Linked DNA regions of Nothobranchius furzeri. The protein of the gene in region 1 purifies or fractionates together with the protein of each later gene. This does not show direct contact. Links are inferred from orthologs where the notes say so. Each region holds a gene or a part of one and is shown on either strand. Other genes may lie near its edges. The genes, in order: casc3 and upf2.

The links.
Region 2: the proteins of casc3 (region 1) and upf2 fractionate together in Homo sapiens (co-fractionation; 3 studies listed by BioGRID and IntAct). This does not show direct contact. The link is inferred for Nothobranchius furzeri from reciprocal best matches to the Homo sapiens genes CASC3 and UPF2.

What each region holds. Positions count from the first base shown.
Region 1 is NC_091746.1:33,203,658-33,219,528, forward strand, and holds the start of casc3 (protein CASC3), read right to left. Parts: upstream 8,625-15,871; 5' UTR 8,582-8,624; coding exon 8,399-8,581; intron 7,053-8,398; coding exon 7,028-7,052; intron 6,941-7,027; coding exon 6,885-6,940; intron 6,708-6,884; coding exon 6,498-6,707; intron 4,486-6,497; coding exon 4,337-4,485; intron 4,267-4,336; coding exon 4,093-4,266; intron 1-4,092. Other genes in the region: serine/threonine-protein kinase WNK4, read right to left, coding at 11,128-11,130, 11,644-11,738, 11,859-12,058. UniProt on the Homo sapiens protein: Required for pre-mRNA splicing as component of the spliceosome. Core component of the splicing-dependent multiprotein exon junction complex (EJC) deposited at splice junctions on mRNAs.
Region 2 is NC_091741.1:38,105,891-38,121,152, forward strand, and holds the start of upf2 (regulator of nonsense transcripts 2), read left to right. Parts: upstream 1-2,640; 5' UTR 2,641-2,735; intron 2,736-4,668; 5' UTR 4,669-4,669; coding exon 4,670-5,034; intron 5,035-5,707; coding exon 5,708-6,487; intron 6,488-6,562; coding exon 6,563-6,723; intron 6,724-7,936; coding exon 7,937-8,128; intron 8,129-8,198; coding exon 8,199-8,348; intron 8,349-8,623; coding exon 8,624-8,727; intron 8,728-10,072; coding exon 10,073-10,158; intron 10,159-10,311; coding exon 10,312-10,420; intron 10,421-10,587; coding exon 10,588-10,701; intron 10,702-10,836; coding exon 10,837-10,953; intron 10,954-12,362; coding exon 12,363-12,752; intron 12,753-13,700; coding exon 13,701-13,976; intron 13,977-14,073; coding exon 14,074-14,257; intron 14,258-15,262. Other genes in the region: slc35e3 (solute carrier family 35 member E3), read left to right, coding at 72-156, 243-340, 412-433. UniProt on the Homo sapiens protein: Involved in nonsense-mediated decay (NMD) of mRNAs containing premature stop codons by associating with the nuclear exon junction complex (EJC).

The DNA.
Region 1 (15,871 bases):
GAAACTGAGCACCGCCGTGTGTGACGTCCGCGACGCTGCAGTTTTTTTTAGCTGTAGTAAAAATGGAGTATGGCGACAGCGCAAACATCTTTGTTTAGAAGAAAGGCTTTTAGCGCGTCTGCTTGTTGTGGTTTTAAAGACATGTTCAAGTCATTTAGAACAAAGGAAAGAACCGCAGCGAACTCCACTTCAGTCACCATGTTTATGACAAACTCTGCGTAGAGTGTGTGACGTACGATAATCAGCGCTGATTGGCTCGGTTAGAATTCTCACAGGGTGGGGTTATTTGAATAGGAGAGTTCCCAGACTCTTTGTGCAGAAATAAACAGAGGAGGAGTCTGGCAGGCCAGACTAGGCACGTTCACCTGTGTTTAAAATTCATTTTGTTGAATTAAAACAACAACGAAATACCTCCGTGTAGCATCTTTCTGTCTAATTATCTTATGGTATGGCCATGCATGCGCCGGAGACCTGCATGTGGCTGCTGCGCCGCGGCTTGTATTTGAGTGTGGCGTGTGTGTGTAGAAAACCTTTTTTTTTTTGGTGCGGTTTATATTGAGGTGCGCTCTATAGTCCGGAAATTACGGTAAATGAATTAACCGTACGATAAATGAAAATAAACTCAAATTTTCCAGCCTCAATATATCGAGGTTAGGAAATGTACAACTCTATTATTAACATTTATCATTACTGAAGTGCAGTTTTGGTTGTTGACACTGGATGGGCCGTTATATTTAGTGTTTTGGAAAGACGCAGTCCATTTTATTTTTGGTGCAAAATTTTTTAACAGATGAGAGTTCTTTTTTAAAAATGTTGTTTGTTTTATTTATGTTTATTCATTTAGCAGACGCTTTTATCCAAAGCGACTTACAATTTATAACCTATAAGGCATGTTGTGAACTGTGGGGGAAACCGGAGTACCCGAAGGAAACCCACGCATGCATGGGGAGAACACGCAACTCCACGCAGAAAGGCCACAGCCGAGTTTCAAACCTGCGACCTCCGTGCTGCGAGGCAACAGTGCTAACCACTGCGCCACCATGCAGCCCCATTTATTTAGAAGTTTTAGTTCTGGACAGTCCAATGTTTAATTGCTGTATTCTAAAGGGTGTACTTGCATAATTATGATATATTAACATTACATACATGGTTATTTTGGTCTCAATAATGTAGACAATATTGTTTATAGTCTATAATTTGTTGTTTGAATAATGTGTCCTACACTTTACATTAATGCATGATGGGTTAAAATGAATATTTAGTTTTCCTGTAATAATTTATTTCAGATCTTAAATTACACCAGATTAGTATTTGTTGATTTTAAGAATTTAATTGATCAACATAGTCACACCTCTAATATTATTAATATTTAACATTTGTGCTTCCCATAATCTGTTTAACGTTGTCACTTCACACTAAGAAATTACCTCTCTAAGTATCTGAGGGATCTCCTGAGGTATTTTTGGTAACACCTTTTAAACTTGTCAAATTATGATTTGTACAAATTTGTCAACAACAATTAATAAAAATAGAGATCACTTCCTGGGCTAGTCAGTTCTCTGCCGCCTCCCGGTTCAGGCCGGGTGAGCAAGCATTTGGAACCACCCTCTCTTCTGACTCAAACTCAAAGCCTCTCTGCAACACTTGCAAGTGTACCAGATGCTAAATAGATACGCCAGATTCCTGCCGTCACCTGGAAGGTACCTCAGAGCAGACGGGTCGTGCTCGGAGTTGAACTATGGGTTCCATTACCCTGAGGTCCACTCTACCGGCAGTGTCTATACCGACCTCTTGACCCCCTGAATCACACGAGGGCCTTCAACACAAAGGGTTCGTAGATCCGCACAATGGCGTAGGATGAGTTTACAAATAATCTCTAGCTTATTAAACCATACAGTCAAACTGATTTTACAACCCAAACATCACAATTATTTCTCAGATACTTAATAAGGTTTTGCTACAAACATCTAGCTTACATTCCATAATTTTGTTCATTGTCTGTTATCTTGTACAACCATCCTTTCATTCATAATTTGTCATGTATAATCATTAGTTTAGAAATATATTATTGTGGAATAATATATTAATTTGTATAAACTATATACTTGACTGTCTGAATTAACATGAAGTGTGTGCTCCCTGAATAGTCCAAAGAACCTAAGGTAATATTAAATCAAATATTCAAAGACCAATCAGATTGATAACTCATACTTATATGGAATATTACATCATAATTACCATTTCAAAAATATGAAGCAACAATCCACCATGCTACAAGCAACACAGCTCATGTTCACTTTTGTTTAGCTTATTAACAGGGTATATACAGCAATCCTTAAGTAAAATTTACTACTTTTTAATACCTTTTTTACTACCTTCAGAATTTTTTTAAAACCATCACAACACTAAATTGCAAGTGTTAATCAGCGACCTATTTACACATATTTTAACATATATAACATACAAAAAGAATAGACTTAGAGACTCACTGATGTTGACAACGTATTGCGCATATTTATTTTACTTAGAAAATAAGCCAGGCACTTCTGTTCAGCGGTTCAGACAGTTGACCACGAGGCCTGAAATGATGCAGAACCACTGAATATGACGTCATCATTATGTGACCGGATATGCTAAAGCAGGGCTGCTCGATTATGGCAAAAACAATAATCACGATTATTGTGACTGAAATTGAGATCTCGATTATTTAAGACGATTTTTCAATTTATGTTGATTTTTTTTTTTTATTCAGTCATAAAACTGCTCAGGGCACAATCAGGGCAAAAATAAACAAGAAACAAGATGATCACTAAAGGAACTCCTGATTCCCAGTATAAAAAGACCAATATACTCATAGCTCATAGTTTATAACCCAAGGGCTGTAGACCTTGGTTTAACTCATTTAAGTCTAACCAGTACAGACCCAAATACCAATATCTTGCAAATACTGACAGCAAGAATTATACAGTGGCATTTATAACAAATAAATGCAAATAAATTGATGTTCACAAAATGTTGCATAACATTTATTTAGCCATGTCAATGTGCTGTAGGAGCATGCACTAGCACCGTGTCCTCAGAGAGATTAGTTATTAGTTATCAGCGTGAGGATTGAGGAACTTATTTCTACCTTATTTATAAACTATTTATTTACAGGTCCATCAGTTAATGTAATAATTGTCCCAACCACAGCTGCACCCCCCACCCCCACTCACAGCAATCGGGGCAAGCTGCATGTGTGTTTAGCACGCCGCATGCGCACATTTAGCTGTTTTTAGTTGCTCAGGAGCCTGCGGGTACAGTGTGTGTCACTCACTCTGGTTACTCCAACAGGGAGCCGACTCTGAGAGCCGTTTCTTTAGCGACCGACACATCACTACATCATTCCCTTTCCTAATGTCCTGAAGAACGGTCCGGAGCGCAGGCGGAGTGTTTAGCTAACCTGCAGCAGGAAATGTCGACGACAGTTATCCAGAAAGTAGCTAAGGGTTACCAGAGATGTTTCTGAGGTGTTCGCTAGGTACTTTTAAGATTTAAAAAGTCAAGAAGGGGGTCTGAAAAGCTGCTAGAAATAGCATCAAAGTTGCTAAGTTGGCAACGGAGCGCTTCATTTGTAACAGGGCAGCTCAAGTGGGAGGAGCAAATAATCAGCTTGTTTTATTTTTATAATCGTTCAAAACATTTCATTCGGAATATATTTCTATGTCGATGTTCAGAATACGACATCTGATAGTCTGAAAAAAATAATACCTAACTTGGAAAAAATAATACCTCTGAGACCAAATTTAACACTTTTAATGGCCTTAAATTTGACTATTTTTATTTATCACTTTTTAATACTTTTTAAAACCCCGCGGACACCCTGATTGAGGAGGCAACCACTGACTTTCTTAAGCGTCTTTAACACTGCCCACATGCCCAGGAGCCCACATGCCCGGGAATTTCCGCATTTCTGAGAAGTCCTTGGAAACTATACGAGAACAAAAGCCCCCTGTACGAGCCCGAACTGACACAGCCATACTGATACAGATGTGAAAGTGGTTTAAGTCAACCTACAATAGGTTTCCGTTAGACCTGCACAGCGGCACTCACCTGGGTCTACGCTGTCTGTACGCTCGGTCTCCAGAACCGCCACCATTCCGGATGTCATAACCGTAAATAGCAATGAGTTCCTCACGGCTCTTTGGAGCCTGCTCCTCCTCCCTGAACTTGTCGTGTTCCCAGCGGCCCTCGTCCTTCCACAGCTTCCTATTTCGCCCTTTGGGTCTGAAAGAAGAGATTTTGTTAGACCCGGTCTCCAAAGAGCCGATATAGGACCAGTACCAGATAAGCTCACCTCTCTTCCTCCTGAGTGTGGCCGCGGACATCATGCTCAAAAAACAGTCCCTTCCTTGGGATGTAGGCAGGGTTCTTCCTGTCTTCATCATCATCAAGCTGCTGACCTGGTTTCCCTCCAGCCTTTGTCTCTGGACCATTGGTGGACTCCTGCAAAAGTTTTTACCATAACTCTGCTTCAACATGAAATAACATTACCAAAGTTCACACATTCTTATAACGGATAGCTCCAGGTTTGACAGTGAAATGTAATACCTTTTGATGACTGTTAAGATTCAATGCTGGGTTCGCAGCTGGAAAAACAAATATAAACTTGCAATAGAATTAAAAAAAATATATATATATATATACACATATCTACCTATCTATCTATATCTCTATCTCTATATCTATTTATATCTATGTATAACTATCTCTCTCTCTCTCTCTCTCTCTCTCTATATATATATATATATATATATATGTATGTATAGGGGAGCTGAAACAACTAATCTATAATCAATTATTGGAAAAGTTGACAACTTATTTAGTCTTCGACTAGTTGTTTTATAATCACGTTTTATTGTAAGTCTTCTATTTTTAAGACAAGCTGTTAAATTTGCAGCCAGTGTGTGGCAGTAATGAGTCACTGATCTAACAGTGGAGCAGCAGAAGAAGCATCAGCCAATAGGCACCCTTGATTTTCATGACGTACCACACACATGGCTGACGCGCATGCTCACACTGAGGAATATGAAACGGTACAGGAGAAAAACAGAAACCATAAAAGTGAAGAAAAAACCAGAACAAAAACATCTAAAGTATGGGAACACTTTACTCTAGATGCCGTGAAAAGACGGGTGACCTGCAAGATATGCAAAAACGATCTAGCATGGCACGGAAATACAATTTCTCTAAATGAACATCTGAGACCAAAACATTTCGGAGTTGATGCAGCAGAAGAGCCAGCCCGGTAAGAAACTTACACCTAATGAGAGAATATACATGCAGTGGTTCCTCACTATAACGCAGATCACTGTTTGTGACTTTGCCGTTTCACTGAGCTTGTTATAGTACAATTTTACACCAGGGTTTCCCCCAGCGCTTTGCTTGGCGGGCCGCCAGACTAAGCATCATGCTCCACCCCCCTCCCTGACTGTGTCCACTGACACGAATGGCGCAATGAAACTAGAGCCCTCCATCAGCTGATACTGGTGAGAAACAGCAGCGGAACATGTGCAACCACCCCACCCCTGCTCTCACGGAGGAGCACTAATAAAACCACTTTGACTGTATTCATTTTTTTAGTTAGCCGTTGTCTCCTGGTAACACTTAGCGTAATGCCGTCTAAAGTGGATTTTCTGAGTCCTGCTAGATGGACACAGTATCAGACAGATTCCTGTATCGGGCCATCTATAATTCTGTAGATTCCAGTTCTTTAGAGAAAAGATGGAATTGGCCAAGTTTAACTCATTCACTGCCATTTGCATTTTTTTACTGTGTGGGCATAGGAACGAGTCCCCACACCGCGAGAACAAACATCTCAGCTCTAAAGCCAATCTTCATCTGCATACGGCACACATCAAGTGACCAGGAAGCAGAAAATCCATGTGTTAGGAGGTCCTTTTGGGCCACTGCTGTAAAACAAATAAATAAATAAATAAAAAATAAAAAAAGTGTGGCGCGAACCAGAAAAGCTTCTGCAGATCACAATTCAATAACGGATTATGAAAGAACAGATAAAGCTCGAAACGCACGGATTCTTCCTGCTGTAAGAGGTATCATCATCCTAGTGCGCAATGCTCTGTGACTCTTAAAAAAACAGTAAAAATGGCACACAAAAAAAAAACCGCTGGCAGGGAAGGGCTTTATCGGTCAGGAAACAGCTGGCAGCGAATGAGTTAATATCAGCTGCTCAAAGCTGTACAAATATCAGAAATATGTATAATTACACAAAATTTACATAGGTCCATTTTTTTATTTATTGTGCAGAAATTTATCAGAATTTAACCAAATGATAACCACCTCTTAAAACTTCCCATTATGTCAAATGAAGCTCAGACTAGCTCTGGAACAGAGCAGCTGAGCCAAATGAACATGGACAAAAAGACAACAAAGAGCTAAAAAGCTGTTTATGCATCAGAACCTGCTGACCAGATCCATCTGGATTTCCTGAGTCTCACCTGTCCATCACCACTCTGCCTCTCTCCTGTGAGGTTTTCCTTGTCCTCCCCCTTGGGCTCCTCCTTACTGTGTCCTTCTGCTTCCTCCTCAGCCTTCTCTTCCTCTTCCACCTCCTCCGGTTTTGGGTCGACAGCAACTGAAGGTTTGGGCTCACTGGTTGCTGCTGGAGCTTCCTCTTCACTGTAACCCTCCTCTTCCTCCTCTACCCCCTGGAAAAAGAATTTTTCAGAAACATCTCTTCTTCAGTTTGGTCTTTGAATTGGCATCCTTAGGTTGTTGTGCCAGATCTTTGACCAATCTGAACGTCTTTTCAATCCTACAGTCAAAAACAGACTCAGTTCTTGTCTGAGGGAAGGAAACTGGGAGTTGTGTTAGGCTGGATTTACCTCTGAATGGGAGCGGTTTTCCTCCGGATCAGCACTGTCATAATCTGAGAGGACAGCTGAACAAAACAGAGCCAGAGTCATAAAATCAGGAATCACCAACAACAAATCTAACGTGGAGCTGGATAACCAGGAGAGGCTCTTACCTTCTCCGGCTCCATCTTCACTCTCCTGCAATGACAAACAGGATCAAAATGACAACGTGAAGAATCTGGCTGCCTTTAGGTGTCAGGATAGACTCTTTCCTGGTGAAGGGGATGCTAGGTTCCTCATAATTTTACAGTGACATATGTGATGTCTGACTTGTAATCATTTTAATTATGAATTTTAACAAGCTAATAAATCTTAAATTACCTGACAGTTGAAAGAAACTCAAATCATTTTTAATTAACTCCAAGTACAACATACAAGTTATTCAGGGCTTACTGCAAAGCAGATTAGAACATAGCTTTTAAAGCCCCGTTCACTTGCATTCTTTTTTTATTTGTTCCAGGGACCCATGGACCAAACGAACAAGTAGGAGACTTTGGCTCCTTATTACTGTTGGCTCAAATACAAACACAGATGACAATAATGGAAAATATTTTTTAATCAGGACACTAGTTCATTTAACAAAGAGCGAGAAGTGTTCTCGTTAGCACGTTTTACTTGATGGTAAAAATCTTCTTTAGTTGAGACCTGGGTATCAAAACATGTTTATCCCCAATACATTTTGAAGTGATAATGTCCTCACGAACAATTATTTAGAAATCAACCCCTAAATAATTCATTTGACACATTTTATCTTAATGTAACCAAGTGTAATGCAGATGAACAAGTAAGGCCTGTAGCTAAAGGGTGGTACCCCAATGACATAAAATGTAGTGGACACTGAGGCCTTGAGACATGTCAAGCCCTCAGTCCCCTGATGGGTGAGGGTCAATGACTGCCTGGGTGAAGCTACTCAGTCATGGGAATCCAGCCTCGCGCATCTTCTGAATCAGAGTATTCTGATTTGTGATTACGAGATTTTATCTATGTCGTAACGCCCCTTAGTGCAACTGGGGCTAATCTGTGATTAATCAGAACTAACAGGGTCTTTAGATGTAATGGAACCACCACGGGTCTGAAGTCCAGCGTGGAGCCGCAGACTCAGGCGAATATCAGGGTGACTTTTAGCTCTTGGTTCGGCAGAAGAATCCACTTGGACCTCAGGTAACCATCCTCTATTCTCCAGTAACGGTTCTGAGAGACTGTTGGGACTGAGCCGGTGTTATGTCACATTTTGTTCCCGAGTAAATGTGGTTCAACTGCCACCTTTTCGTCTCAGATCATCGAACTACGAATGAACGACAAAACCCATCTCCTTACTGATGAACTAGTTAATCACCCACAGTCACGTCGAACCTAATGGTACCTCTAGAGAGCCTTAAGGTTTTTCTGGAAGCGGAATAAGTCAGAACTTTTAGCCCGAATTCCAAGCTTTGTGATGGACGGACCAACGTTAGCTGCTGGAGTTAGCCTGAGTAGCTACTCACACACTCGGACTCCACGTCGCTCTTCGCCTCGGTCCGGCTCTCTGTCACCTCCACTGGTTCGGGATCTCGACCTCGAGCCTTTGTCACGGGAGAACCCGACCTTCCGCTGTCCGAACCAGAACCGGACTCGTCGTCCTCGCTGTCCTGAGACGCGCGCCTCCTCCTTCGCCGCCGGTCCGCCATCTTAGGACTGGAATGGTTAGTAACGGAAAAAGCAACGCATTATGGGTAATGGTGTTCTTTTGGAGAGCAAATTCTCCCAGCTCTTTGATGTCTACTGCCGCCCTCTGGAAATGATTAGTACAACAACGATGTAATAACTATTTTAATTTGAACGTGTACGTGAATAAACTAAAGCAATTTTTACACATATTAGCCGTTACAAAAAAGTATGAATAATCTGGAACACCTGCACGTTAAATCAACAATGTAACCTACAAAAAACTGCTGGGAATCAAATTGTTGCCCTCATTTTCTAAGAAGATGCCAACTAGAGAACGTCCAAAGATCGGAAGTAAGTTGAAAAACTGAAATAGTGGCGTGTGTGTGTGTGTGTGTGTGTGGGGGGGGGGGGGGGGGGGGGGTCGTCTTTATGGTAAGTATGCTAAAAATATGTATAAAACTACAGGCTAGAAGGGGCTCTTTTATGCAATGTCAGGAATGCAGAACTGTCAATTAACATGTGCTCTGAAGTCACGTGGCTCTGATGCTCATTAATTATTCAGAATTTTAAGCATTAAATTACACTTTAAACAGAAGAGTGACAAAAAATCACCCCCTCAGAGTTGTCATGAATGTAAACTAGATCTATTAAACCTAAAGTGATTTTTTTAACCAGGCTGTAAACATGTTTTTTTTTTCTGCTGTGAAAATGGCATTTTTAACATGGGAGTCAATGAGGATTTGCTCACTTCTGGTAGAAGCCCCTTGGCCTGGCCTGCCAGACTCTTCCTCTGTTTAATTATGCACAGAGAGAGGGTGAAGAAAAGGCCAGGGGTCTCATTTATCAAACGTTGCGTAGAATCCTTACTAAAACCGTAAGCTCAGCAAAAAAAAAATGTACTTACGCCAAGTAGGTTTATGATCTATCAAACATGGAGTACGCACAGCTACACGCAATCTCCGCTTCATAAATTGGAGAATAATGAGAATGTTTCTCAGCTGCATTTTAGTCACATCCCGCCCTCACCACGCCCACTTACTGCCATAAATAGTCAATGCAAAGTGCCTTGTGAATCTTATGCATATACATAAGCCAGCTGTTGCAGCATTTCGATCACGACTGCAGATCAAGGAAGCGCTCTTTCACAAGCAGAAATTCAGGTACCTGTGGGTGAGGTGGAGAAATGAAAGGAAGTGCTTTTGTAAAACAAGAGAAAATTCACTCAGTGGCACAGCGTTGCTGAAGCCGTCAATGCTGAGTTCTTCAGAGAGATCTGTGGCGGATATTAAAAAAATGATCCGATCAGGATTCAATCCCCAGACTCCCGGATGAAAGTCATGCGTGCTAACCAGTCAGCCAAACAGAGATCTTCCTTGTACAAGTAGCCAGGGCGCATGATCAATCGGGTCACAGTGACAGGACACTTACATTGTCACTTACGCATGACATTCTGTATCAATCTGTCACCTTGCTAATTTTCTGCATTCCGTATTTTGCGCATCAGACTGTGTGTGTGCGCGCCAGGTGCACGCGCATGTGTGTGGGAGGTCTTGTTCCGTGTGAAAACGAAGCAGTACAAGGGATAATGCTCCAAGGCAGCTGTGGCTACATTGTAGCTCATCCCCACCAGCATGTAAATGTGTGTGTAAATGTGTGTGTGAATGAGTGTGTGAATTGGGGCATGACTGATTATGTTGTGAAGCGCCTTGGAGGGTTGTTGAACCGAGGCATTATACAAAAACAGGCCATTTGGGCAATATGCTTCACCTACCTTGCCTCCTGGATAGTCTGAGGGACCGTAGGCACCTATCAGGTCGTAACCTCAATTCTTTCAGCGAACCCCAGAATAGCTGTGGCTATTTATCTCAATCTGTGTGAATGTGTATGCGTGTGCTTTGGCGTCCTCTGGCTTAGATAGGTGCTATGCAAGAGCAGGCCATTTACCATATGTTTCACGGGTCAAAGAAGAGTCAGACCCCAGAAAATCCAGCTGACCTTGACCCATTTCATCGTCAATTGATCTCATTGTGGTTGACTCATTTCAGATTCAGACTTTTAAAACTAAACATGATTTATTTTATTGTTTTGCACAGACTCTCATCTCTCAAAACAGAAATCAAACATCACTAAATTAAACATTGCTAAATAACCAATCAGTTGGTTGGCTTTATCTGACTCCAGCAGAATAAATAAACAGAACTTCAACAGTTTGGTTCTGACAAAACTTGTAATGAATACATCTCATCATCAAACAGGTTTAAAAAGTAAAACTTTATGAGTTCATCATCATTAAAGTGGCATCTCTCAGTCAGCATTCATAACATAAATCATCCCTCTGAAATTTACTGAGAAATTCTCTTCAAGATGCTGAATGTAAGAATTAGTTTATTCACATGTTACAGAGTCTGTAAGTCCTACGACCGTTTCCTCCTCAAGGTGTTTCACCTGACGCTCATCAGAGACGATCTTTTTCTCAGGGAGAAGAGGCATCAAAATAGATTTCAGTCTCAAACAGGAAATGTACTCTTCTTCAGGCATCATGTGCAGAAGGTCAAAATTTAGCACCTCACTGCAACACAGAGGTCAAAGGTCAAACTGTTAATGAATGTAAAAGCAGCGTGACTAAACACCTTGAGTATAAAAAAAATGAAAGAAAGAAAACAAGGTCTAAGTGGAAGAATCGTGAAAAATTGAAAACAAAAACCAAAAAATATATTTTAAATTTTTTTGTTATTTATTGAAAGAAAATTATTTAATTTGTATAAAAGAATGAATAATGAAAAATAAATAAGTTAAATATTTTTTTTAATAATGGACCCATTCAAACTAAGTCTAATTAAAGAAGCTGATCAGTATCAACTGAGTTGGGTCCATGGAGCTGAGCATCAGTTAATTTAAAGCTGGTCTATTCGGTTCTGGGCCCAGGTGATTCAACCACTGAATCAAGTGTGTTGGAGCAGAGAAACCACTAAAACATGCTGGATACTGGCACTTTACTGGCCTGGTATTGAATAGCCCCAGTTTGTGGAATAGAGTAATACTTTATTCATCTCAGTGAGAAATTTACTTAATATGAACTCACCATGCAGCTGTGTCCAGGGGCAAAGGTCACAGCTTTCATCACTCTGTCCTGAGATCCACTGCTGCTGCCGCTCACTGAACTCTTCCTCATGATGCCTTCAAATCACAGGAACACAAGCATGTCCACACACGCACGCACGCACGCACACACACACACACAGTGAGTATGAGACAGTTATGTGATGTTGGTTTGCCGACTGCAGTGCATCTCCTTACTTGTAGGGCGCGATGGGTCCGATATCTGCGAGCTGGTTTTAGGGGTGTAGCTTCCAGTCTTTGACAAACGGCGATGGCGGTGGTTCAATATGGTCGCTGGAGACATTACACCAGGGGGTGGAACTTTACCTTTCTTCCGATACAGCTCCTCCATTTCTCGCTTTTGACTCACCTGCAGCTTCTGCACCTGCACCAGGTGTCTATTTAAGAGAGGCCTTGGTTAGAGATACTTGTGTGAGAGTAAGGCTGTGAAATGTTTATATTTTCTGGACAGACAAGAAGGCTGCAGGAGGCAACTGTAATGGGACTTGGTTAAACTTGTTTTAGCAGTTTCACTGAGAAACCGTTTTTACTTGTTATTTTTATTGGCCACTCTGAGTTTCACATGCAGGCCAAATGTGAAAATAGTTTTCTGCCTCTATTTCCTGCATAAGTCGTCGATAGAAAATCGACAGGGAAACGCTCGGATTAGAAAAGCAACAAAGATCTACGTCCCACTCATGAACTCCACCATTTTGTCTTGCGATGGGGAAGGCTGTATTTGTTTAGTGTTCAGGAGAGAGCAGAGCATGTCTTGGCTAGTAGAAGCTAACTGTTAGCATTAGCAACTACACAAAATGGCAGAACACCTTCAGGCTTGTGGTATTTGTTGAGATAAAACATCAACATTGCAAAGAGAACAGATTAAGTGGTGGAGTCACAGTGCAGTTAGCCAATCAGAGGTGAGTTGTCAAAATATCAGGAAATAATAATACTCCAAGTCCTGATGTCTTCTGCTCCCCTCTGCTTCAACTAACTCCTACTTCCCGAAACATGAGCATGAGAGCTTTTTTTCCCAAGGAGATTGTCTCACAAGACATTCATTTATACTAGAGACCACTGCAAAAGTATAGAAAAAGTGAGTGAACTTGGTCTCTAAATGATCAGCCCGAAATTCACAACAGGGTGAAACTCAACCACCAATAAAATGAAAATCAAAACAACCAACAAAATGTCATACGCGCCGGTGGACGAAGCGGAGACAAGGTGAGGATCCAACGCGGGTGAGACAAACAGGCAGGCAAATAGGAATGATGAACATAGATTTATTAAGCACGCTGACACTGGAACAATGAGGCAACAAGAGACAAAGAACTGGAGGGGTTTAAATACAGGAGGGCTGGGTGCTTGGGTGATTGGGAAACAAGAGGCAGGTGGGAGCAATCAACAGGGACACAGGCTGAACCAAACGGGGAGACAGGACAGGGTGTGAGAGTGCCCCCCCTCAAAGGGCGGATCCCAGACGCCCACAGGAACAAGGAGCAGGGTGGGAGGAGGGGGACCCGGAGGGAGGGCCCAGAGGAACCGAGGGACCGATGGAGAGGCGGCAGGGACCAGCAGAGTCCGGGAGCCTGCGCCTGGGACAGAGGAGGAGGCGACGGGCCCTTGGAGACCGGCGCCTGCGGCAGATGAGGAGGCGACGGGCCCTTGGAGGCCAGCGCCTGCGGCAGATGAGGAGGCGACGGGCCCTTGGAGGCCGGCGCCTGTGGCAGATGAGGGTCTCTGCAGGCTGGGCCGGGGACATAGTCTCTGCAGGCTGGGCCGGGGACATAGTCTCTGCAGGCTGGGCCGGGGACATAGTCCCTTGGACGGGCTGGACCAGAGCGACCTTCAGAACCACCATTGGAACCGGAGACGGTGGAGACGTCGGACCAGAGAGAGCATCGACCTCTAGAGTGGAGAGAGCGTCAACTTCTAGAGTGGAGAGAGCGTCAACTTCTAGAGTGGAGAGAGCGTCGACCTCTAGAGTGGAGAGAGCGTCGACCTCTAGAGTGGAGAGAGCGTCGACCTCTAGAGTGGAAAGAGCGTCGACCTCTAGAGTGGAGAGAGCGTCGACCTCTAGAGTGGATAAGGCGACTTCAGACGAGACGACTTCAGAGGTGACTTCAGACGAGACGACTTCAGACGAGACGACTTCAGACGAGACGACTTCAGAGACGACTTCAGAGGCGACTTCAGACAAGGCGACTTCAGAGGCGACTTCAGACGAGGCGACTTCAGAGGTGACTTCAGACGAGGCGACTTCAGAGGCAACTTCAGGCGAGGCAACTTCAGACGAGACGACTTCAGAGGCGACTTCAGACGAGACGACTTCAGACGAGACGACTTCAGAGGCGACTTCAGACGAGACGACTTCAGAGGCGACTTCAGAAGAGACGAGACTGCTTCAGACGAGGCGACTTCAGACGAGAAGACTTCAGACGAGACGACTTCAGAGGCGACTTCAAACGAGACGACTTCAGAGGCGACTTCAGACGAGACGACTTCAGACGAGACGACTTCAGAGGCGACTTCAGACGAGACGACTTCAGAGGCGACTTCAGAAGAGACGAGACGGCTTCAGACGAGGCGACTTCAGACGAGATGACTTCAGACGAGACGACTTCAGAGGCGACTTCAGAGGCGACTTCAGACGAGACGAGACGACTTCAGACGGGGCGACTTCAGACGAGACGACTTCAGATGAGGCAACTTCAGACGAGGCGACTTCAGACGAGGCGACTTCAGACGAGACGACTTCAGACGAGATGACTTCAGACGAGACGACTTCAGAGGCGACTTCAGACGAGACGACTTCAGACGAGACGACTTCAGACGAGGCGACTTCAGACGAGACGACTTCAGAGGCGACTTCAGACGAGACGACTTCAGAGGCGACTTCAGATGAGACGACTTCAGAGGCGACTTCAGACGAGACGACTTCAGAGACGACTTCAGACGAGGCGACTTCAGACAAGACGACTTCAGACACGTCGACTTCAGAGGAGATGACCTCAGACACGTCGACTTCAGAGGAGACGACTTCGGACACATCGACTTCAGAGGAGACGACTTCGGACACGTCAACTTCAGAGGAGACGACTTCAGACACGTCAACTTCAGAACACGAGGGAGCGTCGACTTCAGAACACGAGGGAGCGTCAACTTCAGAACAGGAAGGGGCGTCGACTTCAGAACACGAGGGAGCATCGACTTCAGACTTGGAAGGGGCGTCGACTTCAGAACAGGAAGGGGCGTCGACTTCAGAACAGGAAGAGGCGCCGACCACCATCTACTTCTGGTCCGGGGGCGTCGGCTTCTGGTCCGGGGGCGTCGGCTTCTGGTCGGGGGGCGTCGACTTCTGGTCCTTCGATTTCTGGACCGTCGACCTCTGGACCGCCGGCCTCTGGACCGGAACCGGAACCGTCTGCTTCTGGTCCGGGGGTGTCTGCTTCTGGCCTGGGGGAGTCGGCCTCTGGTCCGGGGGAGTCGGCTTCTGGTCCGGGGGAGTCGGCTTCTGGTCCGTCGACTTTTGGACCGCCGACTTTTGGACCATCGGCCTCTGGACCGGAACCGTCTGCTTCTGGTCCGGGGGAGTCGGCTTCTGGACCCTCGACTTCTGGACCGCCGACTTCTGGGCCGCCGACTTTTGGACCGGATCCGGTACCGTCTGCTTCCGGGCCGGTCCCCTCTGCTTCTGGGCCTGATCCGTCAGCTTCTGGGCTGGTTCCGTCAGCCGATGGGACCGGTGACGGGACGGTTGGCCTAGCCGGGGGCAGGTCCAAGGCGCTGCATCGGGCAGGGGCAGCGGCGAGTCCGCAGCTCTGCCCCGGGACACAGGGCTGCGGTGGAGCTCGGCGTTCTTCTCCACGCCGCGGACCAACTCCGGGGGAACAGACCGCCAGTCTTCTGCCCACGAAACTGGAGCGATCTGGCAGCAGCTCCCGGTCCAAACAAGCCTCCGGTTCCGGGAGGACAGGGAGGAACGCCGCGGCCGAAGGTCGGCGATGGCGTCTTCGGCGAGGCGAAGCATGGGGGGGGGGGAGGCCGGCCAGTGATCAGACGAGAGGAACCGGAGCAGGCACTCCCAAGGCAGAATCTCCCAGCTGGATCCATCAACGGGTTCGGGTGGACGAAGCGGAGACAAGGTGAGGATCCAAAGCAGGTGAGACAAACAGGCAGGCAAATAGGAATGATGAACATAGATTTATTAA
Region 2 (15,262 bases), on another chromosome or scaffold:
TATTTTAAAGTCATTGAACTGTGGATGGAATTTCAGATATTTTTTCTTGTCATCTTGACTCAAACAATCAGCTACAACATGTTTGGTCATTTTAAGTTTTGCATCACTCTGACTGGAGGATACCTGCTCTTCCACGAGCCGCTTTCACTCAACCAGGTGATTTGTTTCTCCCTCTCTGTGGTTTGAAGCTATATTGTTGTTATTTCCACCTAAACCTCGAGTCCCCCCTGTGTGTGACTCAGGCGTTGGGGATCCTTTGCACCCTGGCAGGAATCCTGTCCTACACTCACTTCAAGCTGGTGGAACAGGAGGAGGGGAAGAGCCGCCTCGCTCAGAGACCGTAGGCTGACCAGCCTGAATCCGCTGTGCAGAGTTCTGTGTTCAGAGTTTAATTATGGTTTTACTCTTCAGAAACTCTGATCTTAACGTCTGAAAGGGAACTGAGGCTCGTTTCGCACACAGCTGGACTTCATCGGATGGTAAAATGAAATGCAGTGTTTATGAATCCTGAATCCAGCCCAACAAACTCATCAGCTCAGTTTCCATCACCTTTTTTCTACATATAGCAGGACAGGAGAGTCACTGAGTTGTTCATTTCTATTGCAAACAAGCAGACGGCAACACCTTTATGTGTTCGACAGGCTTTCAAAAGCCGTTAACTGCTGGAGACAGACTTGGCCTTCAGAATAAAAGAATGAAGCTTAGCTTTATAAAGTGTTATGGTGTTCGGTTTCGATTAGCAAACAAAATCAGAACTTGATGATGGTGGTTTGACCCCCCAAATCCAACGCCTTAATGCTGTGTGTCAAGCAGGAAGGTAGTGAGTCCCATTTTTTCTACGTCTTTGGAATGACCCGACCAGGAATCGAACCCCGATCTCCCAGACTAGGGGCGGACACTCTACCACTGGGACACTGAGCTGGTCATTCTAAATGGTAAATGGCCTGGATTTGATATAGCACATTCTAGAGTCCTGGAACCCCCCAAGGTGCTTTACAACACACTCAGTCATTCACTCATTCACACACTGATGGTGATGAGCTACAATGTAGCCACAGCTGCCGTTGGGCGCACTGACAGGCGAAGCTGCCGAGCACTGGCGCCACCGGTCCTTCTGATCACCACCAGCAGGCAACGTGGGTTAAGTGTCTTGCCCAAGGACACAACGACAGCGACTGACTGAGTGGGGCTCGAACCTGCAACCTTCTGATTACGGGGCGAACACTTAACTCCCTGTGCCACCGTCGCCCTAAAACGACTGTTGGTGTTTTATTAACCTCTACATTGCTCTCAGCTCTGCATTACAAAGTTATTCCAGCTGGTACGATGATCATATTTCAGCAGAAAGTTCTCTGGGCTGCGTAGGAAGTGTTAACTGCAGGAGCTCTTTGCAAATATAAGGTGAGTTTATTCAACGGGCTAACTGCAGATCTGACCAGCTTCTCCCACAACATCCACAGATCTGAACAATCACTTTATTACTTTGACAAGAAAATGCTAATGTAGTGAGCTAGGCAATCTGAAAATTAGAGTAATTTTTGTTTTGTTTTCTTTTGTCATCATCAACCCTCCCTGAATTAGAAACATTTCAGCACTAAATAAAACACAACTAGACTTTATTTTTCCACTTTCCTCGTTTTTCTTGGTTTTACTTTTCCCCCTAGACATCCTGTCTTGTCTGACCTAAACATGCATCTTATCAGAAGTGCCTGGAATGAAGGGTTTACGCAGTCCACATTCAAGCTTGTTTTTGTGTCCTTTACACTGAAGTTATGTTGTATTTATTCGACGACACATCTAGCGCATTATTTATCTCCGCCTTCCCAAAGTTCAGATTTATGAAGAAAGCACCAAAACAAGTTATTTTAATAATGTTACTCAAAGCTGTTGGATGAGTTTATCTCTGCTTCATGAATGAACTGATTTCATAGTAAGAATGTTGGCTGTTGTTGGGTTGTTGTTTAAAGTCGTTTAAATTGTTTAAAGTCTGAAACATTTCATTTTCTGGATGTGTGTAGTTTCACTTATTGCTGCTGTAACAATCTGTTTTGACAAAAAAAAGTTTCTGAACTTAATTGTTAGAATTTTTCATCATTTACAACATTTCAGATGTGTTTTATATCTCTGTGAAGGACCTGAACCTTCACCTTGATCCAGCTGGCGGTCAGTCTGATGATCAGTCAGAAGGGTTTGGCAATTTTTTTTTTTTGAAAAGTGTAATGGTGGTGAATAAACGGCGTAAGTAAACCTTCAGTTTTATGTGTTGTATTTTAATTACATTTAGCAACATTTTTACACCAAGATGTTGCTGCGAATGCAGCAGCAGAATTGTGGAAGGAAAAAACAACCGATTGTGTAAAGAAACAAAATATTAAATTATGTTTGTGGATAAGATGTAAAAAATATAGAATTAATGTGGTATAAACATAAATATGTGAATGAGTGAGTTAAACGTTGCTTCCTCCCGCCAACAGCTCCGCTGTTAAATGATAAGCAGCTGCCTGGATTGCCGGTTAAATAAAATAATGGAGTGTGCTAAAATATCTCTCCTCTATTCACACACTACACTAATGCTTGTGTACAGCATTACCGGTAATTTCAACCGGCTTAAATGTTGGTTTTTGATTTTTTGTTGTATTTTCAGTAAGGCAAATCTTGGGAGACCAATCGGAAAGGGTCCTGTTTCAGTTTACAGGGAAATTGTTTACCGATGTTTGTTTTGGTGTCATTTGTAGGTAAGATTTTTCCATTCTGCCGCAAGATGATTGTAAATGTTATTTATTTTCTCTTTGTTTTATTCATTATCTTACAAATAATATCGGAACCGCTAAGTGCACGTAGTATCGGTAGCTAAACGTTTGTTAACATCGTTTTCATCAATTCATTAGCTATCGCTAATGCTAGTTCATGTTTTGTTGTTTATGTATGTGTATGGTAATTGTGAAAAATGTTAACGTTAAAGTTGGTTAAAATGCCTTTTAGTCGAAGCGCAGTTGTGAGTCACCTCGTTAACTCTTGAGAGAGTTAATATTTTTATGACAAACACGTAAAGCTAAGGACGACGCTAACCTATGGTCACGATGCGAATGGAGGAAGTTACGCTTAGACGTTTGCCATGTCCAAAAATATTAAATTATCAGTCCCCAAATCCATCAGCTGTTAGATTTTTATTTGTGCATTGCAAAAAATAAAGGTGACAGACTTTCAGTGATAGATATGTAATTTAAAAGATTTATAGATTGTGGTTTCTGTAGTTTTAGGAGCCACAAACGTCGTGAAAACTTGCTTTACTGCGTTATGAAATATTTTCTATAAACCTATGACGTAATTCAGCGGTTGCTCGTGATGCTTGTATATCTAATATGTGTATTTCTGCAACACACGAGTAACCACACAATTATCTGATACTAGGGACAAAACATGAAATGGCAGGCAACACGGGCGTTTATTAATCTAACAAATCGTTATTTTCCCAGATTAGGAGTCACTTTCTTGAGAAGTTTGGTTTCAGTGTTTCACATTTCACATAATTATTTTGCATCAAGTCTAAATTAAAGGGCAAGTCATTCCCTACCAGAGTATTAACTCCGCTCCCACATCCTGTTTGAAAAATGCTGTTGCCTAGCAGACCGAGAGGGCAGAGCCGCTAACAAACACACACACACACACACACAGGCTCACAACAACATTGTGACATCATATGGTACCAGCTAATGTTCTAAGGTACCTCTTAGCCAATAGCGATGGCAGATTTAAATTCAAATGCAGTGCAGAAATTTTACCTGACAACGGCACAACACTGACCGTTTTAGGCAGAAGATTAAAATTTGAACTAAAATGCACTAAAGTGCAAAACTATTGACTACACGTGTCTGCAGCACGATTAGTCACGCATTTATATAGTTTATCAGAAAATAAAGTTTATTTCGGGGTGACTTGCTCTTTAAACAAACAGAAACACTGAATTGTATTTTAATCTTTTTTTATATTTCAAGTGATTGAAATATTTCTGGAGTTTTTCCAAACTTTCTACACTGTTAACAAATCAGATTCAATGAAAATTAATTTTTTATAGTGCAGTGAAGACAACAGCTGATGGATCCTGTTATTGTCTGGTTTCAGAAAAGGGGCAACATTTTGGCTTTTTTTTCTCTGTTATACCAAACTTGAACTAATTGTGACACCTGTCACTTGTGTTTATTAATTTCCACTGACACTTTCTCGTTTTAGAAAGTAATCAACCATAAGAACTTGCACACAATTTGTAAAAATATGCTGCAGATGCATCCTTACATGCTACATACCCTTTTGGACCAAGAAACACTTAGCAGATAAAAGTATTGGGCTTATAAGGTTACAGGCAGGTTTTTATTTCTTTTTCCTTTTTTTTTAATAACTTTATGTTTATTTGTCTTATTTTAATGCCTTAAAATCTTGGCAGTTGCAAAAATGGGCAAAACTTATTTTAAAAACTTTTACTAATGTTTATCATCTAGGCTGCAAACATTGATTTAATATTGAACAAAGGCTCTTCTAGGAAGGTTATTTTTGTGTTTTCCTATTTTATTTAATGGAGTCAGTTACAGGACGTTAATATTTACTCACATATGTGATCAACAAAGTATTTTTAAACTACCTGAAATTACTCTTTTTCTAATTTGTCCTCAGCATGCCTGCTGAAAGCAAGCGATCAGTAAACATGGATGAGAAAGACGTCGGCTCCTTCAGCAGCACAGAAAAGGAGGACAGGGAGGCAGAGAGGAGGCCGCCGTTGGCCCGTGACAAAGTCAAAGACGAGGCTAAAGCAAGTGGTAAAAAAGACTGCAACAAGGAGGAGAAGAAAAAGCGCCTAGAGGAGGAAAAGAAGAAGAAAGAAGAAAAGGAGAAAAAGAAGAAGGAGGAGGAGAAACAGAAAGCAGAGCAGGAGCAGAAGATGAAGGAGGAGGAGGAGAAGAGGCAGCATGAGGAGCAGGAGAGAAAACTTCAAGAGGAGGAGGCTAAACGACAGCGTGAGGAGGAGGCGGCTCTCCTCAAGTAAGTGAACAACTCTGGTATGAAGCTTCATACTTTAATCGGAATCAGAAGGTTTTATTGCCATATGTGCGAGAAATTACAACATTAGCAGATTGCTGCGGTACTTGGTGTAAAAATGAAAGTTAAAAATAAGGAGTAAGCAAATATAGGAAGTAAGATTATAATCATTATGAGATGATAATATAAAGTGGTAATAATTAGATAGATGGCTACTGTGTAGGTACTAATCAGAACGGAACAGTTCAGGTAAAAACACAACACCGGGTCATGTGACTGAAACAAGCGACTGGAGTGGGCAGCCCTAGGATTGTCGTTCATGAGTCCAACTGCAGAGGGGAAGAAACTGTTCTTGTGGCGAGAGCTTCTGGTCCGAATGGATCTGAACCTCCCTCCAGATGGGCGCGAGTCCAAAAGACTGTCCAGGGTGACACGGATCAGCTGTTACTCAACCTGCACTCCTCAATGTCCTGGAGGTGTGCACTCACAGTCAGGGTCCCATTAGTCATCACACACTGGTGAAATTCATTTCACCCATGACTGATTTTCTTCTTCAGAGTCATTATGACACAAAAATAACATGCTGTTGTTGTTGTTTTTGCTTTTGTCTGTTTATAAATGATGATTTTACTCTTATTTTTACTTTCTGTCTCGCGTGTTCTCTTCATCCTCACAGAGAAAAGGACGAAGGTCATCAGCTGCACCAAGAAGCTTGGGAGCGCCATCAGTCGAGGAAGGAGCTGCGCTGTAAGAACCAGAACGCCCACGAGAGTCGGCCCGAGGAGGCCTTCTTCTGCCGGCTGGACTCCAGCCTGAAAAAGAACACGGCCTTTGTGAAGAAGCTGCGCACGCTTACCGAACAGCAGCGAGACACGCTCTCCAATGACTTTGCGTCCCTCAACCTCAGCAAGTACATCGGTGAGGCCGTCAGCTCCGTTGTGGAGGCCAAGCTGAAGATCTCTGACGTTGGCTGCGCGGTCCATCTGTGCTCCCTGTTCCACCAGCGCTACGCCGAGTTCGCTCCGTTACTGCTTCAGGCGTGGAAGAAGCATTTCGAGGCGAGGAAGGAGGACAAGGCGCCCAACGTGAGCAAACTGCGCACAGACCTGCGATTCATCGCGGAGCTCACCATCGTCGGCCTCTTCACAGACAAAGAAGGCCTGTCGCTCATTTATGAGCAACTGAAGAGCATCATTGGAACGGACCGGGAGACACACACGCACGTCTCGGTGGTGATCAGCTTCTGCAAGCACTGTGGCGACGACATTGCCGGTCTGGTCCCTAGAAAGGTGAAGCTGGCAGCTGAGAAGTTCGGCTTGACCTTCCCTCCTAGCGAAATAATCAGCGTGGAGAAGCAGCAGCCGTTCCAGAACCTCCTGAGGGAGTACTTCACGTCCCTCACCAAACATCTGAAGAAGGACCACCGAGAGCTGCAGAACATTGAGAGGCAGAACCGGTCAGATGGCTTCTGGGGTGTTGTTTTAGGTTCTTTTCTCTGAATGAACCGAAACCTTCTTTTTTGGTTTTTCAGGCGTATATTACATTCCAAAGGTGAGCTGAGTGAAGACCGACACAAACAGTACGAGGAGTTTGCCACGTCCTACCAGAAGCTGCTGGCCAACACTCAGACGCTGGCCGACCTGCTGGATGAAAACATGCCAGAGTTGCCGCAGGACAAGACGGTTCAGGAAGGTGTGTCTGAAAGAGTTCCAATGAAAATGAATTCCATATTAGGGTTGTCACGGTAACCGGTGTAGCGGTAAACCCCGGTAAAAAAGTTGACAATAATAATAACCGTCTTGTTTTTTTAAAACATATATTATCTCGGTGGATTACCGTGGCTGCGGTGTAGGCACGGTGACCCTTACCAGCCACCGTATCATCTGCTGAAGTTGCCGGCGGCACATGCGCGCTTTGTTGTTTACAACCAAAACTTTCTTGAAGCTAAAGCTGAAATAATGGCCAAAGGAGGAGACGGCAGTGCCCATGACATTTATTATCCCTCAAAGAAGACAAAGTGGGAAGTACGGGCATCTTTTGGATATCTGAAGAATGCCGAGGGACAGTTGATAGAAGACGGCTATCCTGTTTGCAGCACGTGCAGAAAAAGTGTCTGTGAAAGGCAGCAACGCTTCAAATCTCATGACACATCTGCGTGACCATCACCCACAACTCTACAGTCAACGCAAGGCAAGCTAACGTTAGCATTTTAGCTAAAATGCGTGATCCGAGGATTTGGGTTGAGGGAGAATGCAACGAGTCGCTATATAAAGCAGCCGCAGCGCCGCTACCTGCATATAAACCGTGTCGCGGACACCGCCATGTTGAAATGACGCTATGCATTACGGGGCTCCCAGGGGCAGATAAGAGTTGGTCTCTCTCCGAGAATAATTATGAATTTAACAACGATTACTGCCTGATGACATTTTCCCACATCTGCAAAGCTCACTGGAAGGACACAAACCGAGGACAATATTCTCCTGATATAGGGTTTATTACTCAAGTAAGGGTAAAAAAGTATCTGATTAGAAGGCTACTTGAGTACTGAGTATCATCTGATCTAATATATTTAAAATGATGACATCAAACAGACATAAAATAAGAAGTTATGGGTAAATATTGGTATTTTAAAGACTAAAGGGGAAATATGTAAACAAATAAACAAAATCATTACAAAATAACACATTTTAGGCTAAATTTAGACACAAACCGAGGACAATATTTTCCTGATATACAGGGTTTATTTAGTTGTGTGAAAATTTAACACGTTTAAAAAAATACCGCAATAATACCGAAAACCGTGATAATTTTGGTCACAATAACCGTGATGTTACATTTTCACACCGTGACAACCCTAGTCTCCACATAGAGCCGAACTTGTCCAACATGCTGTTTGTCCTCTCAGAGCACGGTCCTGGCATCGACATCTTCACCCCCGGTAAACCCGGAGATTACGAACTGGAAGGAGGAATCTGGGAGGACGAAGACGCTAAGAACTTTTACGAGAACCTGGTGGACCTGAAGGCTTTCATCCCTGCAATCCTCTTCAAGGACAATGAGAAGAGCAGCCAGAGCAAAGACAGAGATGACTCTAAAGGTACGTTTTATTCTTCTAAAGGTGATTAAAGAAAGGGACTTTATTCTGACTATTGAGTGGTTGTTGTCAGATGGTCAAGAGGGAAAGGAAGTGGCCAGCACCACAGAGGAACTGGAGCTGGAGTTGGAAAATCTCGACATCACAGATGAGCCTCTAGAGCTGGAAGGAGCAGAGGAGGTGGAGAATGAAGAACTGGCCAAAAAGCTGCTGGATGAACAAGGTGAGCCCCATCCCGCAGTAAAATCCTGTTAAAATCACACATTTACTCATAAATCTACTGATGTTCATCGTGATGTGTGTGATATGAGGTCTTATCTGCAGACCTGCTTTAGAACGTTGGTTCGATTTTACAAATTTAAGATTTAAGACGCCTGAGTTTTCAGATTACCACATTCCACCACCAGGAGGGAAGTAATCTGATGAAGGATTGTGAGACCTAACCTCCACTCTTGTTTTTTATCATGTTTACTTGATTCTTATTGTTTATTTGAGCAGAGCAAGAAGATGAGGAGGCGAGCACGGGGTCACACTTGAAGCTGATTGTGGATGCTTTCATCCAGCAGCTCCCCAACTGTGTCAACCGGGATCTCATAGACAAGGTGATGAAAAATAAACAAACGTTCCAGCCCTGCTTCTGTCTGATCTTGACCAGCAGGGCGTCTGTGTTTATTAAAAATGATCAGAAAACATCCAGAAACAAGCTAGAAGCAGGACGTGAACCCGTTGTTCTCCTGAACCCGACTGTTTGCTGCTCCTGAGTGTTTCTAGAGTCATCTCTAAAAGCTCCTGCAGCAGCATCCACTGCAGAACTTCTTCCAGACTTTCACAATAAGAGTCTCAAACAGATGTGTACACCTTAAAGTAAGGAGTTTTATCTGAGAACACGATTATTATGATATAATTAAACGTTTTTATAAGCGTTAGGAGTTTTGAAGCACTTGTCTGGTTGAGACTTTTATTTTGAAGGTTTAGACAGGGTATTCGGGGGTCCTTAAAAAGTCTTAAATTAGCGTTTCCAAAGGCCTTAAAAATCCTTAAAAATTACAAATAATCGTTAAATACAGTTTCCAAAGGTTTTAAATGACCAAAGACCCACTAAACAAGATTCTTTTATTTCTGTGAAATTTTAGTGAATTTCTAGTTAGTGTGGCCCAGAAAAAGGTCTTAAAAAGTCTTAAATTTGGCTCCCTTAACTCATTCGCTGCCAGCGTTTCTTGATCAGTAAAACCCGTCGCTTCCAGCGTTTCTTCCCGTTTTTACTTTTTGTTTAAGAGACGCAGAACGTTGCGCGCTAGGATGATGTCGACGCCAAAACAACCAAAACAAAGCGGAGACTCACCTCTTACATCAGGAAGAATCCACACGTTTCGAGCGTTATCCGTTCTTTCATAATCCGTTGTTGAATTGTGATCGGCAGAAGCTTTTCCGGTTCGCGCCTCACTTTTTTTACAGCAGCGGCCCAAAACGATCTCCTAACACATGGATGTTCTGCTTCCTGATCACGTGACGTGTGACGTACGCGGATGAAGATCGGCTTCAGAGCTGAGATGTTTTTTCTCACGGTGCGGGGGCTCGTCCGACGCCCACACAGTAAAAAAAATGCAAATGACGACTTTAGTCGTCATCGGCGGTGAACGAGTTAAACCTGCAGATACCCTGTTTAGAGGAAGTTCTTTGCTTCTCTGCAATCGAATGCTTAATAAGTTGTGAAGTTTAATTTATAAAATCATCTTTTGGGTACAGTAATACTAATAAATACAGCCAGGTCCTGGAAACAGGATTCAGACGTTGTTTTTGAATCTTCCTGTTGTTTTTGTTTTTTCTTCTCATTGATCCTAAAAGTCCTTCGTAAACCTCTGCTTCAGCCTGTAACGTAAACAACTTACAGAGAAGTTCACACCTGTAATTTTATCATATTTTTATTTACATTTTGGACTTTTTCAGGCTGCCATGGACTTCTGCATGAACATGAACACCAAATCTAACCGGAGGAAACTGGTCCGCGCGCTGTTCACCGTCCCCAGGCAGAGGTACCAGATGCTCTCTGAACAATGAATGAAACCAGAAAAGAAAAACGGAAGGTTTTGTGCAGACTATCAGGTGTCGTTTTGATACCTTAAGGCGCCACAAAGAGGTGCTGTCATCTGGAGTTTTGTTTTGAAGGTTGGTGACTCGTCTTGCAGGTTGGACCTCCTGCCGTTTTACTCTCGCCTGGTGGCAACGCTGCATCCCTGCATGTCGGACGTGGCCGAGGATCTGTGCTCCATGCTGAAGGGAGATTTCAGGTTCCACGTGGGTCCTTTTAGTTGTACCGTAGTTTAATAAAAGCAGTTCAGACACTAATCAGATTCACTTAAAAGGAACTTAAATGCCTCAAATAAAATATTTTGTTTGGTCGGTTCGTCATGTGGTGGTTTTCTCACGAGGGCGTCGTGAAGAAATTGAATTTGTGTTTTTAGATTCGAAAGAAGGACCAGATCAACATCGAGACGAAAAATAAAACGGTCCGATTCATCGGGGAGCTGGCCAAGTTCAAGATGTTCTCTAAGACGGACACGCTGCATTGTCTCAAGGTGGTTTTCTTCTTGATTTTGACTTATTGGTTTGTGTTAAACGTCCAGAGAAGCTGGACAAGAGCAGCTCACACCCGAGCTGTCGTGGTTCTCAACCAACAGAGATGTGAGATGAGTGTGTGTGTGTTTTTGCAGATGCTGCTGTCTGATTTCACTCATCACCACATCGAGATGGCGTGCACGCTCCTGGAGACCTGCGGCCACTTCCTGTTTAGATCACAAGACTCTCACCTGCGTACGAGCGTCCTGCTGGTCAGTACGAATCGTCCTCATCCTCTTAAGCCGGGCGGACACTGTGCGACTTTTTCACTCGCAGCGTTCAGCTTCAGCTCAAACTGTACGACTTCCTCGTAGGGCAGATCTCACGAGTCATGTGCTCACATTGTACGACCCAGTTCTCGCATGCGACCTGACTGCTCACACTGTACGTCTGGTAGCAACACGTCGGCCCTAAAATATGCTAAAAATAGCAGTTTTTACACAACACTTTTTTGTCTTGTTTTGCCTGTTGTCCTTCGGGAGTGCTGCAGGAGGACACACGGGGATTTATGGGGGTTGGATGAGGAAAACGAAATAAAGAAAGTAAATCTGTGTTTTGTGATCAGTTTAATTTAACATGAACACGACAAACACGCTTTCTTGACAATCTTTGTGAGTAAAAAAACGTGTAGAAAGTAAAATGAACAGCGTGTGTTATTAGGGAAATAGCGGGGAGCGGCGTTGATGCAGGATTGCGCATGCGCCGTGAGCGGTTCTGATACTTTTTGGGTCGCAGCTGCTCGCAGCGCCGCTTCAACAGTGCGATACCCTCACGAGGGACGAGCGAAATTTTAAACACGCCAGAAGTCCGTGCGACCTCACGACTGCTGATCGGCAGCTGGTCACGCGGTGTTAATGGCCTCTCGTAACCCCCTGTACACTACACGACCGCTCGGCGCAAAACTCGCCCCGATGTCGTGGATTCTCGCACGAGTGGAAAATCGGCTCAAAAAAGTGAAAAAGTCGCACAGTGTACGCCCGGCTTTACAGCAAACAGAAGTAAAATCTTCATTTTTGCTGGGATAGCAGCTCAGGAGGTGGAGCAGGTTGTCCAGTAATCTGAAGGTTGCAGGTTTGATCCCAGCTCTGACCAGAGAATACTGCTGTTGTGTCCTTGGGCAAGACACTTAACCCGCCTTGCCTGCTGGTGGTGGTCAGAGGGACCGGTGGCCTCGCCCCTGTTTTTGTCCCCCAGGGCAGCTGTGGCTACGTCGTAGCTCATCCTCACCAGCGTGTGAATGACCGAATGTGTCGTGAAGCGCCTTGGGGGGTTGTAGAACCCCAAGAAGGCGCTATACAAATACAGGCCATTTACCATCATTTTAGCTGATGGTGAGACCTTAGCTTCCCAAACTGGTTGGCGGAACCAAACGTCACATCAGAGAGAAGCTCCAGGAGGTTAAAAAGCAGAATTCTGATCTTCACTCGTGTGTTTTTAAAATGTGAAGAAAAGCAGCCAAAGACCTTCAAGAAGTCTGTGACGTAGTTGATTCAGAAACACTTTAAACCCTCCTGAAATCTGACAAAACGAGCATCAGGATTTTTACGCAGCGCACAGGAGACCGGTTTACCAGATGAACCTCCGTCCGTAACGCTCACATCTACTTCTTTCTGCTCTCCAGGAACAAATGATGCGTAAAAAGCAGGCGCAGCATCTGGACGCCCGCTATGTGACCATGGTGGAGAACGCCTACTACTACTGCAACCCGCCGCCAATAGAGAAGACGGTGAAGAAGAGGCGGCCGCCCTTGCAGGAGTACATCAGGAAGCTACTCTACAAGGACCTGTCCAAGGTGACCACAGAGAAGGTTCTCAGGCAGATGAGGAAGCTGCCCTGGCAGGATCCGGAGGGGAAAAGCTACCTGATCTGTTGCATGATCAACATCTGGAACGTCAAGTACAACAGCATCCACTGTGTGGCCAACCTGCTGGCTGGCCTGGTGGCCTACCAGGAGGACGTGGGCATCCACGTGGTGGACGGTGTGCTGGAGGACATCCGGCTTGGCATGGAGGTAAAAACCCAGCTGGACAAACTTCTGACCTTCACCAGACTGACTTTATTTTAAAGGTTTATGATTTTCTCCAACGGGACCTTTAAAACCCGAGCTCGAGCTGGAATGTGCTGGCAGCAGATCGGCTGATCAAACCGGTGCACACACAGTTCTGCTTTGTGCACATTTTCTAAGAACTGTGTCATCTACCTGCTTGAACCGTCCCTCCTGCGGCTCACTCCCATCGTAAACACGGAGCCTCGTCTTCTGCTGGAGGTGTGGAAGCACCTGAGATCAGAAGAGTCCGATAAAGGATTTCTAAATCGTTCGCTGTAATCTCCTAATTTTAATAATCTAGGACTATAGAACGTCCGTCGTTTAGCGGTAGTTTGTTGTTGTTTCTTGTTTTATAAACAGGAAAACAGCTTCAAACACTTTCTGATCCTTACGTTGGGTCCAGAAACCATCTGCAGAGGTGAAGTTCAGCTCCAGCATGCAGAGCGTGCAGCACGTCCTGCCCAGTGAGAGGAAAGGAAAACATACTTTGTGTGTGTGTGTGTGTGTGTGTGTGTGTGTGTGTGTGTGTGTGTGTGTGTGTGTGTGTAGCGTGTGGCGCCACTGCTGTTAGACCTGAAATCAGCGGCGTGTTGCAGGATCGTTTTCAAGCTCTACGAGTTCAAATGGAGCCGTTAATTTTTCCACAAATGCACAAAGATTCACCTGCATGCGTTAGAATCTAGTCCAGTGTTTCTGACTAGGATCTTTAATATTTAAACTCTGAAATGCGTAAAAACTAATGATGAAAATGATAAATATCTTAGTCTGATGCTGAGAAATGATGGATTTAGGTTGTTTTGATCAACTCTGGAAGATGACATCATCTCTAACATCACAGGTTCTTCGGGACATTTATTTAAAGCTTTTGTTGTTTGGTCGTTTATCTGATGACCGCCTGTCTGTCGGTTCCAGGTCAACCAGCCAAAGTTTAACCAGCGGCGCATCAGCAGCGCCAAGTTCCTGGGCGAGCTCTACAACTACCGCATGGTGGAGTCCGCGGTCATATTCCGCACCCTCTTCTCTTTCATCTACTTCGGGGTGAACCAGGACGGAAGCCCCAGCCTTCTGGATCCTCCGGAGCACCTGTTCCGGATCCGCCTGGTCTGCACCCTGCTCGATACCTGTGGCCAGTACTTTGATCGCGGCTCCAGCAAGAAGAAGCTGGACTGTTTCCTCGTCTACTTCCAGGTATGTCTGATCCATGAAGCTCGTCGTCTCTCGGCTTTACCATGAGAGTTTACAGAATCAGTGAAACGTTGTTTTGTGTGTGTGTGTGTGTGTGCAGAGGTACATCTGGTGGAAGAAGAGCCTGGATATTTGGACCAAGGACCACCCATTCCCCATTGACATCGACTATATGATCAGTGACACGCTGGAGCTCCTCAGGCCCAAGATGAGGCTCAGCTGCTCCATGGAGGAGGCCACCAAGCAGGTCACCGACCTGGAGAGGGAGGTGCTCGTCAAACTAGGTAAAGCAGGGTGTCCGCGGGGTTTTAAAAAGTATTAAAAAGTGATAAATAAAAATAGTCAAATTTAAGGCCATTAAAAGTGTTAAATTTGGTCTCAGAGGTATTATTTTTTCCAAATTAGGTATTATTTTTTTCAGACTATCAGATGTCGTATTCTGAACATCGACATAGAAATATATTCCGAATGAAATGTGTTGAACGATCATAAAAACAAAACAAGCCGATTATTTGCTCCTCCCACTTGCGCTGCCTTGAGTAGCAAATGAAGCGCTCCTCACAATGTTGCCAACTTGTCGACTTTGACGCTATTTCTAGCAGCTTCTCAGATCACCTTCTTGACTTTTTAAATCTTAAAAGTACCTAGCGAACACCTCAGAAACATCTCTGGTAACCCTTAGCTACTTTCTGGATAACTGTCGTCGACATTTCCTGCAGGTTAGCTAAACACTCCGCCTGCGCTCCGGACCGTTCTTCAGGACATTAGGAAAGGGAATGATGTAGTGATGTGTCGGTCGCTACAGAAATGGCTCTCGGAGCCGGCTCCTTGTTGGATTAACCAGAGTGAGTGACACACACACCGCACCTGCGGGCTCCTGAGCCGCTAAAAACGGCTAAATGTGCGGCGTGCTAAACACACGTGCAGCTTGCCCCAATTGCTGTGAGACCGGGTTGGGGGGTGGGGGGTGCAGCTGTGGTTGGGACAATTATTACATTAACTGATGGACTTGTAAATAAATAGTTTATAAATAAGGTAGAAATAATTTCCTCACGCTGATAAATAATAACTAACCTCTCTGAGGACACGGTGCTAGTGCACGCTCCTACAGCACCTTGACACGACTCAGTAAATGTTATGTAACATTTTGTGAACATCAATTTATTTGCATTTATTTGTTATAAATGCCACTGTATAATTCTTGCTGTCAGTATTTGCAAGATATTGGTGTTTGGGTCTGTACTGGTTAGACTTGAATGAGTTAAACCAAGGTCTACAGCCCGTGGGTC